Saccharomyces cerevisiae S288C: one gene and its partners. The gene in region 1 interacts genetically with each later gene. Each region holds a gene or a part of one and is shown on either strand. Other genes may lie near its edges.

Region 1 (5,951 bases):
TTAACCTTATTTATATCAGAGTTAGATGGCTTTTCGTAATGTATGTTAAAAACATCGTTTAGTTTTAGCCAATTCGGAAGCCTTTCTTTTGGCCTACTATTAAGTTTCTTTTTAAGAGCTGTCTTGGGAACTTTTTTTTTAGCTTTTTCAACAGATAATTGCGTGGCTAGCGTTGTTCTTTTAGTGTTAGCAACAATGTTTTGTATAAAAGCCGCCGGTGTATGCACGTACCTCTTACACAGTTGTTCCATTGCCAATGGTTTCCTATTTCGCTAAAATATTAGGGAATATGTGAAGAAAAAATCTTCAGAAATACCTTGTTCAGACCCACATTAAAACGCTTGATTATATGCATATTTACCGGCTGCCGACTTTCATTAAAAAAATTGCGAATACAGAATTTTTTTTTTCACAATAATTACAATTTTTAGCACGATTCAGATGTCTATTTGCTTTCTCTAATTTCATCTACACATCTACGTATATATGGCACCTTATTATCAGTTGTCATCAAAGAGATTACCCACAGCACCGTCTTCAATGTTCGGATCATCCAGCATGTCTCCGTTTTCTTTATTCTTCTTAATTAATCTCTCATTTGCCTTCTTGAGGATAGCTTCCCTTTTCTCTTGTCTTTTTCTCTCATCGCCTGCATGGTCCACATTACCATCTTCTTTCCCACTGGTGGATTTAACCCAATCTATAAAATCAATCATGAGTGCCCTTTGTGTTTTGTATTCGTCCACGCTCCTTAAATTTCTGTATAACTCATCAATATTATAACCATTAGATATCTCAAAAAGGAACGCTCTAGCAGAGGGATATTCTTTGCACAGAGTCAAAAAAATCACAGTGAAAGCATATAGTGCCTCATGGAAAGAATCCTTAAACGCACTATTACACAGCACATTTAGCAACAGATTTTTCATCACTTCAAATGTGAAATATTCATCCACCGTGTTGTTTTGATTAAGGACTGAGGTTAAGCAGCATTTCATTACTAGGATGGAGTTAAATGAACATTTTGTATCCTTGAAGGAAATTAAATGGTTCAAAAGTTTCAAAAATGGAGCAAGGGTGTTTAAATCATTAAATATAATTTTTCTCATCTCCATTTGATGGTTATTTAGCCTGCTTTTAGCACTGTTTGGATTGGCATTGCCTTGACCAACACAATCAATTACTATTCTAACAACAACTGTGGTTAGTTGTCTCAACAAATTCTCTTCCAAAATTTCTTCAGTCATTTGATCATCGTCAGTTGGAACTGGGTTCATGTCCATATCATTCATATGCGAGGACCATTTCTGACATAGCAGCAGGTCCAGGATTTCAAATAATTTAGGCAAAAATGCGGGCATGAATTTCCCCAGACAATCTTTTGGACAACCTTTTAATATAGGACGAATGGCTATATTCATTATGTGTTTCCATCCATGTGTTGAAACTCCAGGGCTTATCTCATTGCTACCTGGCTTAAATATGGCAATAGAGTTCAGTAGTAGGTCGGGCGATTCGTCCAAAAGGTAAAAAACACTACCAAGTGATGATATGGCACTTAAAACAAGTAGAGTGTATTCCCTTGTATACCTAATGATGTGTCCTACGGAGTCGGCGAAGTCTCGTAAGGTTTGCATCGCTTTCATATGTTCATCAATAAACTCATCCTTTGATTTATTTGAAGCTCCGGCCTCCCAAAATCTTTCAATAGTGGAATACTTGACGAAGGATTGCACAACCGTAGGTAATCCTTTCCAATTATCTGGATCGTGGTAGGATTGCAATTGGTACAGTAGTCTCGTGATGTAAGGTAATATTGGGACAATCCTAGGTCTCCACAGATCTTGTAGCATTTTGAATTCTTCATCTGTCTTTATACTTTGCATTGAATAATGAATGAACATTCTTGTTGCACGAACAGGAAACAAGCTTTGCCAACGTTTGGTCAATTCCGACTTCAGCTCTTTACCCTCATCATCAATTGGAATTGATAAAAGGTCACTATTTTCGTCGATATCACGCCTCTGGAAATATTCTGCGATCTGAACAATACCTAAGCGTTCCATAAACCAATGCAAATCAGAAAGACCAACAACTGTTGTTTTATCAGACCAGGCTAAAAGTTCTGGATCCACAATAGCCGCAAATCTTTCCTCTTTCATATCTAATGAAGACTTCAATACAATGATCAATAAGAAGGATTTGAAGGAAATTTTTTCATGGTAAGATAAGTTGGGCATGATTCTGGCAATGACACTTTCAAGGTCTGGGTATATTTTTTTCAGAGATTCGGGCATTAATAAAGCCATCCTATTCAACTCGATACCACAAGCATATCTCAAATCTCTAACTGCGTCTGATTCAGCGCCTCTCTCTTCCAAATTAATTTCTGGATAGTCCATCGTGGCGCTTGTTATGATTTTTTCTAAAAGTGTGAAAAGCACATTATCTTTTAACATTGTCAAAAAAAGTGCAAAATTTTGGATTTGTTTCTTCAATAACAATGGTTCTCTTAAATTTAATGCAATTAACTGGTTTGACAAAATTTCCAGTTTTTGTAATATGGAATCTAGTTTTTCGTCATAATCATCTCCTGTTGGATACCAGATCTTCCATCTTATACAACCATTGATGAAACATTCAACAATCATGTATTGGGAGAGGGCACCTAAATAAGGCTCTAATTTATGGTCCAAAAATGTGGAACTTAAGACCTGCTGACCAAATGGAGAGCTGAAATAATTGTTTAATCTGTTGTTCAACCAATCATAAGTAAGGTCTAATTCGACGCAAGAAATCAACCTAATGATGTCTCTTATTCTTTTCCTATAAGTGGAACAAAATGTTTGAAATTCGGACTTGGATTGAAAATCAATCTCCGCAAATTTTTTGGAAATATGACCATCAATCTGTTCATAATAGACTAAAGCATCCGCGGCAAACTGTAGTAGATCAGGAATGACATATTTCTCCAGCTTGGGTAAGTATTCATCGTTTCGAAGACAGGTACACCATAGGTCTAATGTTAATCCGCTAACGATTAAGCTTGGGTTATAAGTTGTCTTTAATACAAGCTTAAAATATTTTTGAATTTGGCCATTTGTCTCCTTAATCTTTGGGACACAAACATAGAGACAACTGATCATATCCACGAACTTTTTAATTATAGGATATTTCGTTTCATCTATATCATCTGTAGGATCAAACAACAAGCTTTCATAAACGCTATCTAATAAGTCCATATTATCAAAAACTCGATCTATGGTCATTTGGTAATGGCTTTCATTACTATAGGGACGGGTCAACAGAATATGTATCGAGTCTAATGCCATTGACTGCGCCCTTGGGATATTGCTGGATAAACAAGTCAATAAGGAGGATAACACGTCATTTCTTACAATGACCTCTGTTAATGGCCAGTTTAAACACGTCTTCAGAGTTTCTAAAAGCCTTATGATGTATTCAGAATTATTCTGTTGTAATGCATTATTCAACTCTGGAATCCAAACAGAAAACCAGCCCTCTTCATTAGCTTTAAATTTGGTCCATTTATCACTGAATTTGTATTTTATTGCGAAAACTTCAATAGGGCAAACAATCATTACACATAAGGGTTGAATAACCGTCATCCTTTTCAAAACAATTAGGTCGTCCAACAAGAAAACATCTTCAAAAAGGATTCTGAAAATTATTAATGCTAGTTCTCTTGACGATTGATTTATGTTCCAAAGTTCGAAAAGGTTATTGTCCATGTCCACCCAAGATGTGAGTAACTGTTCTTCCGTAGGGTTTGTCTGCTTAAGAGCCTCACCCCATGTTCTTTTTGCCACCTCTACCCATAAAGTGGCTAATTTTTCCTTAATATATCTGGTATCATAATCTTGCACCCCAAAATTAAGTTCCATGACCCATTTTCTCAGGGCCACTCTTTTCCCCTCGTCATAATCATTCCAGTTTTTCTTCACTGCATGGTCTAGTAATCCTAGTCCAAAGTATTTCAATATAGAATTAGTGGGGTTTTGCAATGCAATTTCGTAGCCCCAAAAGGGCGATTCTGAGCATAATTTCACTTCATCTAAAAATTTCTGAGCTTCTTGCCGTTGAGAATTGTTAGACTTGGGGGAGTAAATAACATCTAGTGCGCTAACAATCTGAGAAGCGCCTGTGGAATCCATTACTTTTCTTCCAATCAACGTTAGAAAAAAAATTTCAGATTCTAAAAATTCAAAAAGTGATTAAAAGGAAGAAAACAAAATATACTATAAATAATTTCAATAGTTTATCACAGTAACAATTGCTACACGAATGTAAAGAGTGAATATGGTTTTTAATGGCTAATGCAATGACACCTTACGTTCTCGCCTTGTTTATTTTTCTGTTTTGCTCTTCTTCCGATCTACAAAACTTGAACGGTTGCAACAAATAGGGGGATCTAATCAGGGTGTACTTAAAAGAACGGCTCTTCTACAGGCTCAACGAATAAAGATAGGCTAAAAACACACACGCTCGTCACTCCAGCACCTCTGTTCAATGGAATCTTGCTCTTAAAACTCTTTGACAAATATTACTACATCAAAAGCTTAGTACTCTTGAAGTCTCTTTGGAAAAACCAACCTTGATCGCGCAGCAATGTGGCAATGCCCCTCCGCTGTGGCGCGCCGCCATCACCCGGTAAATAGAAATTGGTGACCAAGGAACAATGCCATGGTGAGTACATTACCATAAAAACCAAGAGGCGATAGTGTTGTCGGAAATAATAATACAATTTGTTGATTCATTATGGCTATATATCATTAAAATATTCACAATAGGTATATAGTCCGATTTGGACAACTAAGGCAGCGGTGAAGAGTAGAACCTGGTCCTTCAATAATAATAACCGTTGGCAATAAACCTGATCATGTACTCGTCAACATGGGCAGTGCCCTCATACTCATCAAGTTCAGCATGATTTTCTTCCTCTTCATTAGCTGCTTTTTTTTCTGTGCTTTCGTCGAAATCGTCATTGTCAATTTCGACTTCTCTCATGGCTAAGTTTGCAGCTTTAACATCATCCTCATCTTCCGCTTGCGCAAGAAGTCTTTCCAGTTGTCTGGGATCTTTGGCTGCCACATCTGCATCTGCTATTAGTGGTTTATCTCCACCTGAAGCATTTTCGGGCAATTCGGATCCCAATAAATCTCTCACCGAAAGTTTGCTGAAATAATCTGTTGTGAAGTCACCCTCTTGAATAACAACATTATCCAATTGTCTTTTTTGGTTGGCTTTTTTTAAGATATTGCTTTCTATGGTATGTTCGCTGACAAATCTGTAAATATGCACATCTCGAGTCTGTCCAATTCTGTGACATCTATCTTGACACTGTTTGTCCATGGCTGGATTCCAATCTGAATCGTAAAAAATAACTGTATCTGCCCCAGTCAGATTGATACCTAGCCCTCCTGATCTACTTGATAGGATAAATACCGTTATTCTTGAGTCAGTGTTGAATCTCTCTGTTAGGATTTGACGGTCTTCGATCTTTGTGGCACCATCTAGTCTCATATACAAATAACCATGATAGTTTAAAAACTGTTCCAGAACGTCCAAAACTTTTGTCATTTGTGTGAAGATAAGTGCCCTATGTCCATTGTCCTTCAGCTGCTGTAATAAAATTGCTAACTTCTGCAATTTACCACAATCGTATTGAAGCAGCGATTTGTCCGGGAATGCGATTGTTAATTTGGTTTGCAGTTGGTGTAATGGGTTGGATACTTCAAAACAGTTCTGCATTACCTTTAGCCTTGTGTTTTCGCCTACCGAACTGTCATCATTTAATCCCAATGCCAACTTTCTCATATCTAGTGAGACGGCACTTGGGGTTAACACTGCAAAGGTATCTATGATCTTTCTATTATCCAATACCCTGGTTTGCAAGGGTTTTATTAGTTCATTATCAATAATGCTTGATT
Region 2 (3,279 bases), on another chromosome or scaffold:
GAGGAACCAAAATTGGTCAAAAAATGGTTAATTGATATCGTAAAATTGAGTATACAAAGCAAAATAATGCTGGAGTCACCGAAGAAACCGTCCACACCAATAATGGACCAATACAAATTTATTAGATCCTTAGATATTTCTATACGGAGTATCCATCGGACGTGCCAGGATAAACTAATCTTTGAAGATTTACAGGTCAACCTTGGAAGTGTATTAAAGATGATTAATGAAGAAGAACACGAGTTAAAAACACACTTACCATTGAACCTCATATAAGAGAGAACACAGAAAAAGCAGGTTAATAATATTCATATGGCGACTCTAAATCAAGAAAAAAATAATCGTTTGTGTTACACCCGAAATATTGAAATTTCTAATCGTATACACAAATTTAAGTATGCAAAACTAAATAGTAATATTGCCCACACAAAACATTCATCAGTTTCCACCAGCAGAAATGCCTTTTTATATATGTAAATGCGAAAAAAAATCACTGACACACACACAAATGCACATTTTTATCTTATGTTACACACAGTTATACGCACATACGCATTCAATCTCTATGTTTCTTTTTCTTATCCTTTTTATCCTTCTTCTCCCTCTTCTCCCTCTTCTCCTTCTTCTTTTTCTTCTTTTCACTAGACTCCTCTTCATCGTCGTGATGTGAACGCTTCTTTGGTTCTTTCTTATTTTCTTTAACTTCCTCAGCCACATGGAAATCTTCGGCATCATAACCAGTAGCAAAATGCTCCAACTTCAAGCCTTCTACTTTTGGAACATCTTTACGTGGAACTCTTACCTTACTGTAATCAATAGCTGGGATTTTAGCGGTTTCGCTGACAGAAAATACCTTGTCAAACTGTAATGGTGCATTATCCTTGGCAGTGCTAGCAATTTTAAGACTTTCCTTACTTTCCGAAGGAACCAATAAAGTCATATTACTGAGGTTATCCTGTGTTAACGAGGACTCAATATCTGTATCGTCCATGATTTTATAATCGTGTTTATCAATTGTCATGGTTGTAGAGGATTCAAAATCTACAGGCAGAGATTTTAACTTGGAGATGTCCACATTTGATGGGAATTTGATCAGCCAAACCTGTTGCTGTTTCGCTTTTTTTTTGTTATCACCGTTGAGAGGGAAATTCTTTAAATGTTTACATTTCTTGAAACCATCTGGTATGCTGAACTCGTTTGATATCACTTCATCATCAGAGTCTGAATCTGATACGTAATCTTTCGAAAGCTTGGACATATCAATTTTTTGTTAATCCCGTTTATTGAATCCTAGCTGCTCACTGCTCACTCGATCACAGACCTATATGATACCGAATACCCTATAACTTGAGCTATTCAATGCTCATCGATAAAATTTTTCATTTCTTTAATTTCATGTTTGAGAAAAAAAGTTTCGCAACACCCAATAACCACACGCTGCCCTAAGAAAAAACTTTCTCAGGCTGAAAAGAAAATTTTTTTTCATTTTCTAGAGCTTTATGGGCAGAAACAAAATGTATAAATACTGGACAACCTTCTGTAAGGTTATAATAATCTCGACATTCGGTTAATAAGAATTCCCCTACATAAGAACAAACAGCAGTGACTGTAATGTAGTAAGAATGAGAGTAATCCTCCTCTTTCGACTTCAGCATTGCACTCCTTCCCATTTGATACATTCAAGTTTGAATAATCTCAAGAGAAATTTCATGACACTTTTTTAAACAGAAAAGAAGAATTGATTGGCCCTGATGATAATGGTGTCTCTTCTTTCCTCGTCCGATTCGACCATGACGACAAGGGATTTTATCTCGTTCTCTTAATGCGAATGATTTTGAAAAGATGTTGCTTCTGTGACATTTTTTTTTAATCATTTGTGTTTGCAAACGGGAACTTTTCTTGCCAGTGTTATACAACACATGCAGATCTGAGCCTTTATTTTTTCTCATGAGATTATCAAATGTGGGTAATTTGAGGAGACAGATAATATATATAATTTATGATCACGGTGATGAAAGACTGGTTCCTTAACATTCGCAGTTTCCACGGTAGGAGTACGCTTACGAACCCATCGTTAGTACTCTCGGTGACCGCTCTTCTTTAGAGACCTTCCTAGGATGTCTGAGTGATCGTATACTGTAGTATCTTGTGTTTACTTTATCAAACCAGCTTACCAACATTGGAATAGTTGGTTGATTTTTTTCTAGCATCCGAATGGATCTTGTATTTCCTTAATATGAAGTAGACCAGTAATCTGAATCCTGCTAGCTTAAAAAATGCGTTGAATATATATTATTAAATATATATATTTGAAGGGGAGTTGATTACATAACAGTGGCTATTCTTGCAATGGTATCAGAATTATTATTGTTGTTGTTGCTGTCGTTCTCCAGATTCTTGTTCGATTCCTTTGACCATCCATACAGATTACTCTTATAATCATAATGATAAAAGACGGGTTCAAAAATACGTTCATTATTCTCCTCCATAACTATTGTGGGAATGTCATTCAACATCAAGAATCTCAAATGAGGAAAACTTTTCAAAAAAGTAACGTAAATCGACTTGAAGTGATGGATAAGAGCGTGATAACACATAATAATATCTCTTTTGGTCAATGATTCATGAGGAAGTTCCAGGTCAGTGGAAATTGTAGCTGCTGTGTCATCACTACTTGGAGGAATGGCCGCATTAATTTCATCATCATCATCATCGTCATCGATTATTATCATTTCGGGCTCGCTCATATGAGCGGTTGATGTGGAAGTCACGGTGGAGTGTTGATGTGGGTTATTAACGATTTTGGGCACCAACTGGGATTTAGAATTTCTATATTCCAAAAGGTTGCGGTTCATCTTGGTCACAAAATTAGTCAAATTCATTGGTTGTGTTCTAACGCTCGGATAAGCATCACAAGCTTTAGAGTATGGTAACAAAGATAGGTATTTCATCATTTTAAAAATATCCTTTGCAGCAATGTCTTGAAGATCGTGAATATAGTAGTCTTCAGGGAACATGAATATTTTGCCCTTCAGAATGTCACTGAATACTATTTGACAGTTTGTGCAGTTGCATTGCTGATTTAGTTGGAACTTATTTTCTTGAATATTGATGATTTGTGGGATAAGACCGTCGTATCTCAGATCTATGAATTGCAATTTGGAGCAAGCTAAAAGAATGGAGAGAAATATGTGAGGATTTGTGGGTTCAGGTACATACTCCTCTAAGAAATCCATTTTTAGTCTTTTCAAATTGGTTAACGAACTAAAAAGATCTACG
Region 3 (5,741 bases), on another chromosome or scaffold:
TGTGGAGAAGAGCTGTTAAAATGATGTTGGACGGACCCACCTAAACCATTGTTCATATTTTGGTTGTTGCTATTGATACTGTTGATACTGTTGTTAATGTTACTGCTGTTGCTGTTGTTGTATTGACGGTTTTGAGAGTATGGACGGCGGTTGCTGTTGCCGTTATTATTATTTCTTCTGTTGTAGTTACCTCTATTGTTGTTTGAATCCCTATTGTTGTAGTATCTTTTATGCCCAGGGCCGTTACTATTAGAGTTATTGTTGGAGTTAATTTGCTGCTTGACCTTGTCAATTATATTATCTTGCAATTTGATAAACTTGATAAAAGTCCCTCTAATATAAATTTCGTTCAATTTTACGGCTTTACTGCTCTCAGCATTGTCTTCTGAATTAATTGCGCTTTCTTCACTATATTCGGTTACATTAGATAAAGTAAGGTTCATCCAGTTATCTACGTTGGTCAATATCCCTTGTATAATTTCACCGTTTTTCAATTCTATTTGCATTTGTTGTCCCTTCGCATTTGTTAAAAGATATAAAGGTAGCATTGAGAAAAAATATTCTATTGTGTTTCTTTTCAGTTCGAGTTGAAGATTTATCAGTTTTTCAACTCTGTTTTACTAATACTACTTCGTTAATTTACTTTTACGATTTCCTTCTTTACCGCTTCCATCATTAGGAAGGTCTATGATACTACGATTTCACGAAAGAAAGCTGCAATAATTGAACATCATTGCTACTCCGTAAAACATGATAGTAAGAGTGCTTATCACGTGACACGTGTGCGGCAAATTTCGTAATTGATGATCAAAATGCGTGTGGGCGGCTACAATGCGGAATTTGCCTTTTTCATAGTACAGGAAACTGGCGGTAAAGGAAAAGTAGTACTTTAAACTCATTTAAAATTACTTATCACTATGAATATCTTTAAATTATTGTTATACATAATAAACTATCTATTAAAAAAAAGATGCTACCCAATTCACGTTGTCCATGGTTATTTTAGAGCCTAAAAATAAAAGGCAGTAGGTTTAGAGGGACTTCAGTACAAGTAGATAACGAACGAAGCAATTACTCTGTGTACGGTGGCGGAAAAAATGAAATGTTACTTAAGAAGGAGGTAATATAAGTACATTACATTTCAACCGCATTGTGACTGCGTACTTTAAACGATAGGTGACTGCGGATCTTAGGTCGTTTAGCAGCATACGAAAATTAGTTTTACTAAACTAGACATCTAGTAAAAGGCTGTCGAAATCTCTCAATTTAAAGAGAACCTGCTACTGACTATAAATTTTGTCACTACAAATTATTGGTTTAATCTAGCCTTCATTATGGATACAATTACCTTCGGCGGCTAAAAACAACTTGATTTTGTTACCCGCGTTTGAAGTGACGCGTCACTAACCATGACGCGAAAGTTAATTATATTCAGCTCCCCGCCTGCTTATTTCCCGTTTAGGAAATAAATGGTTAACCTAACAAAAAAAAAAGAGGAACAAGGACTAAGAAGCACGTCAACGTGAAAAACGCACAAAAGATATTATAGTTATTGCCATCCTTTAGCATTGGTTTAGCATATCAACTAATTGACTAATATTTGCTGCTAAATTCAACTGGAAGCTTTTTTTTTTTTCGAGATAATAAAAAAAGAAACTCTTTAGTGTATTGTGTTATTTTTACTATTAATTGTTGTTACAGCAGAATCACATCTAGCATTGGTCGTCGCTTTTTCAAACGATTCTTCCTCCACTTACCCTTTGAAAAAAAGGTACATTATTTCACGTTATTTGATATATTGTCAACAATAATTGCTCTTTGCCGAAAATTAACTCTTCTTTCTTTCTCATTTCCCTTCTGTCCCTCTTGCGTAGTTCTAAAAGGTTGATTTATTCGAGAAATCATGCCATTTGATGTTTTGATATCAAACCAAAAAGATAATACCAATCACCAGAACATCACGCCAATATCAAAATCAGTTCTTTTGGCGCCTCATTCAAACCATCCAGTGATTGAAATAGCTACGTATTCAGAAACCGATGTATACGAATGCTATATACGTGGGTTTGAAACTAAAATAGTGATGAGAAGAACTAAAGATGATTGGATTAATATTACCCAGGTTTTCAAAATAGCTCAATTTTCGAAGACGAAAAGAACTAAAATACTGGAAAAGGAATCAAATGATATGCAACATGAAAAAGTTCAAGGTGGGTATGGTAGGTTTCAAGGTACTTGGATCCCACTGGATTCAGCGAAGTTTTTAGTCAATAAGTACGAAATAATTGACCCTGTGGTCAACTCCATCTTAACTTTTCAATTCGATCCAAATAACCCTCCACCAAAGAGAAGCAAAAATAGTATATTGAGGAAGACTTCGCCGGGAACGAAGATAACTTCTCCATCGAGCTACAATAAAACACCAAGAAAAAAGAACAGTAGTTCATCAACATCGGCTACAACTACAGCTGCGAATAAGAAAGGCAAGAAAAATGCATCGATCAACCAGCCGAATCCAAGTCCTTTACAAAACCTTGTTTTCCAAACTCCTCAACAGTTCCAAGTAAATTCATCAATGAATATAATGAACAATAATGATAACCACACCACGATGAATTTCAACAATGACACAAGACACAATTTAATAAATAATATTAGTAACAACAGCAATCAATCTACTATTATTCAACAACAAAAATCCATTCATGAAAACTCTTTCAATAATAATTATTCGGCAACTCAGAAACCTCTTCAATTTTTTCCAATTCCGACAAATTTACAAAACAAGAACGTTGCTCTGAATAACCCTAATAATAATGACAGTAATAGTTACAGCCATAACATCGACAATGTCATTAACAGCAGTAATAACAATAATAATGGCAATAATAATAACTTGATCATAGTTCCAGACGGACCTATGCAAAGCCAACAACAACAACAACATCATCATGAATATTTGACGAATAACTTCAATCATTCCATGATGGACTCCATTACAAATGGCAATAGTAAAAAAAGGAGGAAAAAGCTGAATCAATCTAATGAACAACAATTTTACAACCAGCAAGAAAAAATACAAAGGCATTTCAAATTAATGAAGCAACCCTTATTATGGCAATCCTTTCAAAATCCAAATGATCACCATAATGAGTACTGTGACAGTAACGGCAGCAACAATAACAACAACACTGTAGCATCCAATGGCTCCTCCATTGAAGTATTTTCATCAAATGAAAATGATAACAGTATGAATATGTCTTCACGATCTATGACACCGTTCAGCGCAGGAAATACTTCATCTCAAAACAAGTTGGAAAACAAAATGACAGATCAAGAATACAAGCAGACGATATTAACAATACTATCATCGGAAAGGTCTTCTGATGTAGATCAAGCGTTGTTGGCTACTTTATATCCGGCGCCCAAAAATTTTAACATAAATTTTGAAATTGATGATCAAGGTCACACTCCACTCCATTGGGCTACAGCTATGGCGAATATTCCTTTGATAAAAATGCTAATTACCTTAAATGCTAATGCATTACAGTGTAATAAGCTCGGTTTTAATTGCATCACAAAATCAATTTTCTACAACAATTGCTACAAGGAGAATGCTTTCGATGAAATAATATCCATCTTAAAAATATGTCTTATAACTCCCGACGTAAATGGAAGATTGCCATTTCATTATTTAATTGAATTGAGCGTTAATAAGTCCAAAAATCCAATGATAATAAAATCTTATATGGATTCGATAATATTGAGCTTGGGTCAGCAGGACTACAATTTGTTGAAGATATGTTTGAACTACCAAGATAATATAGGGAACACTCCACTGCATTTATCTGCTTTAAACTTGAACTTCGAGGTTTACAACAGACTGGTATATCTTGGTGCGTCAACAGATATATTGAATCTAGATAACGAATCGCCTGCGTCAATAATGAATAAGTTTAATACTCCGGCTGGCGGGTCAAACAGCAGAAACAACAACACCAAGGCAGATCGAAAGTTAGCTCGAAACCTTCCTCAAAAGAATTATTACCAACAACAGCAACAGCAACAGCAACCACAAAACAATGTCAAAATTCCAAAAATTATAAAAACTCAACATCCTGATAAAGAAGATTCTACTGCAGATGTCAATATAGCTAAAACAGATTCTGAAGTCAACGAAAGTCAATACCTGCATTCCAACCAGCCAAATTCTACAAATATGAACACTATTATGGAAGACTTGTCGAATATTAATTCTTTCGTGACGTCGTCTGTCATTAAAGATATAAAGTCTACGCCGTCCAAAATTCTTGAAAACTCTCCCATTTTATACAGAAGAAGATCACAGTCAATATCAGATGAAAAAGAAAAGGCAAAGGATAATGAGAATCAAGTTGAAAAGAAAAAGGATCCCTTGAATAGTGTGAAAACTGCCATGCCATCATTGGAATCGCCTTCTTCCCTTCTGCCGATACAGATGTCTCCACTAGGAAAGTACTCAAAACCGCTTTCGCAGCAGATCAACAAATTAAATACAAAAGTTTCTTCTCTACAAAGAATAATGGGTGAAGAAATTAAAAATCTGGACAACGAAGTAGTAGAAACCGAATCCTCTATTTCTAACAATAAGAAGAGATTGATTACAATAGCACATCAAATAGAGGATGCTTTCGATTCCGTATCAAACAAAACTCCCATAAATTCGATATCAGATTTACAATCAAGGATTAAAGAAACATCGTCAAAGTTGAATTCTGAAAAGCAAAATTTTATTCAAAGCTTGGAAAAATCTCAAGCTTTAAAACTGGCTACAATTGTCCAGGATGAGGAATCAAAGGTTGATATGAATACTAACTCAAGTTCACATCCAGAAAAACAGGAAGATGAAGAGCCAATTCCAAAGTCAACGTCGGAAACTTCTTCTCCTAAAAACACCAAAGCGGACGCCAAATTTTCTAATACTGTACAAGAATCATATGATGTAAATGAGACGTTGAGACTAGCAACGGAACTAACTATTCTACAGTTTAAAAGAAGGATGACAACATTGAAAATAAGCGAAGCTAAAAGCAAAATTAATTCATCGGTGAAGTTAGATAAATACAGAAACTTGATTGGTATCACAATTGAGAACATTGACTCAAAATTGGACGATATAGAAAAGGATTTGAGGGCAAACGCATAAATTTTAATTCACAATGTACCAATAATTTTTACTATATTATCAGAGTTTTTAAATTTTTTTTTTTTTTTTTTGGTAGCAATTTTTTACATATTTGTATAGTCACTTTTCTCATTGCGCTTGAGTTGCTTCAAGTGCATGTCAACAAACATTTGAACTACTAAACTTAGACTATTATGGTTAGCCCTTTGCTAATTATCAGGATGTCTTTTATTACGATTGTGCTTTGTTTTCGTACAATATGATGAATGGAAAGCGCGATGAGATGAGGTCGAAAAAAAAAAAAAAAAAAAAAAAAATAGAAACATCCACTTATCCATAGATCCTTCATTTTATTTGTTGTCAGGTTTGGTATTGATTTTATTAGTCAACAAAAAAGAATAGGCAAGACCCCGCAAGGATCCTTCTTCTCGTTTCTGTATATTACCAAAATCCTGCCTTAGCAGCATAAAAACTGAGGGACGAAAAACACTTTTTTAGTATCAAGTAGTATAATGGATCAACAATTTCTAAGTCAACTTGAGCAAACTTTGCACGCTATCACTTCTGGTGTAGGCTT

What was found. Genes that interact genetically often act in the same process or in processes that back each other up.
Region 2: mutations in MSN5 (region 1) and RPA34 together harm fitness more than expected from each alone (negative genetic interaction), as found in Saccharomyces cerevisiae (3 studies listed by BioGRID).
Region 3: mutations in MSN5 (region 1) and SWI4 are lethal when combined (synthetic lethality), as found in Saccharomyces cerevisiae (6 studies listed by BioGRID, with this or other methods).

Annotation. Positions count from the first base shown.
Region 1 is NC_001136.10:1,139,392-1,145,342, reverse strand, and holds MSN5 (karyopherin MSN5), read right to left. Parts: upstream 4,176-5,951; coding exon 501-4,175; downstream 1-500. Other genes in the region: translation initiation/elongation factor MRX8, read right to left, coding at 1-251; chromatin-remodeling protein SWR1, read right to left, coding at 4,867-5,951.
Region 2 is NC_001142.9:138,416-141,694, reverse strand, and holds RPA34 (DNA-directed RNA polymerase I subunit RPA34), read right to left. Parts: upstream 1,259-3,279; coding exon 557-1,258; downstream 1-556. Other genes in the region: SMT1 (Smt1p), read left to right, coding at 1-276; SCF ubiquitin ligase complex subunit DAS1, read right to left, coding at 2,325-3,279. UniProt on the Saccharomyces cerevisiae protein: DNA-dependent RNA polymerases catalyze the transcription of DNA into RNA using the four ribonucleoside triphosphates as substrates. Component of RNA polymerase I (Pol I) which synthesizes ribosomal RNA precursors.
Region 3 is NC_001137.3:382,039-387,779, reverse strand, and holds SWI4 (SBF complex DNA-binding subunit SWI4), read left to right. Parts: upstream 1-1,903; coding exon 1,904-5,185; downstream 5,186-5,741. Other genes in the region: U6 snRNA complex subunit LSM4, read right to left, coding at 1-548; karyopherin KAP123, read left to right, coding at 5,677-5,741. UniProt on the Saccharomyces cerevisiae protein: Part of a complex involved in cell-cycle-dependent transcription. SWI4 and SWI6 are required for formation of the cell-cycle box factor-DNA complex. The repeated element in the upstream region of HO (5'-CACGAAAA-3') is called the cell cycle box (CCB).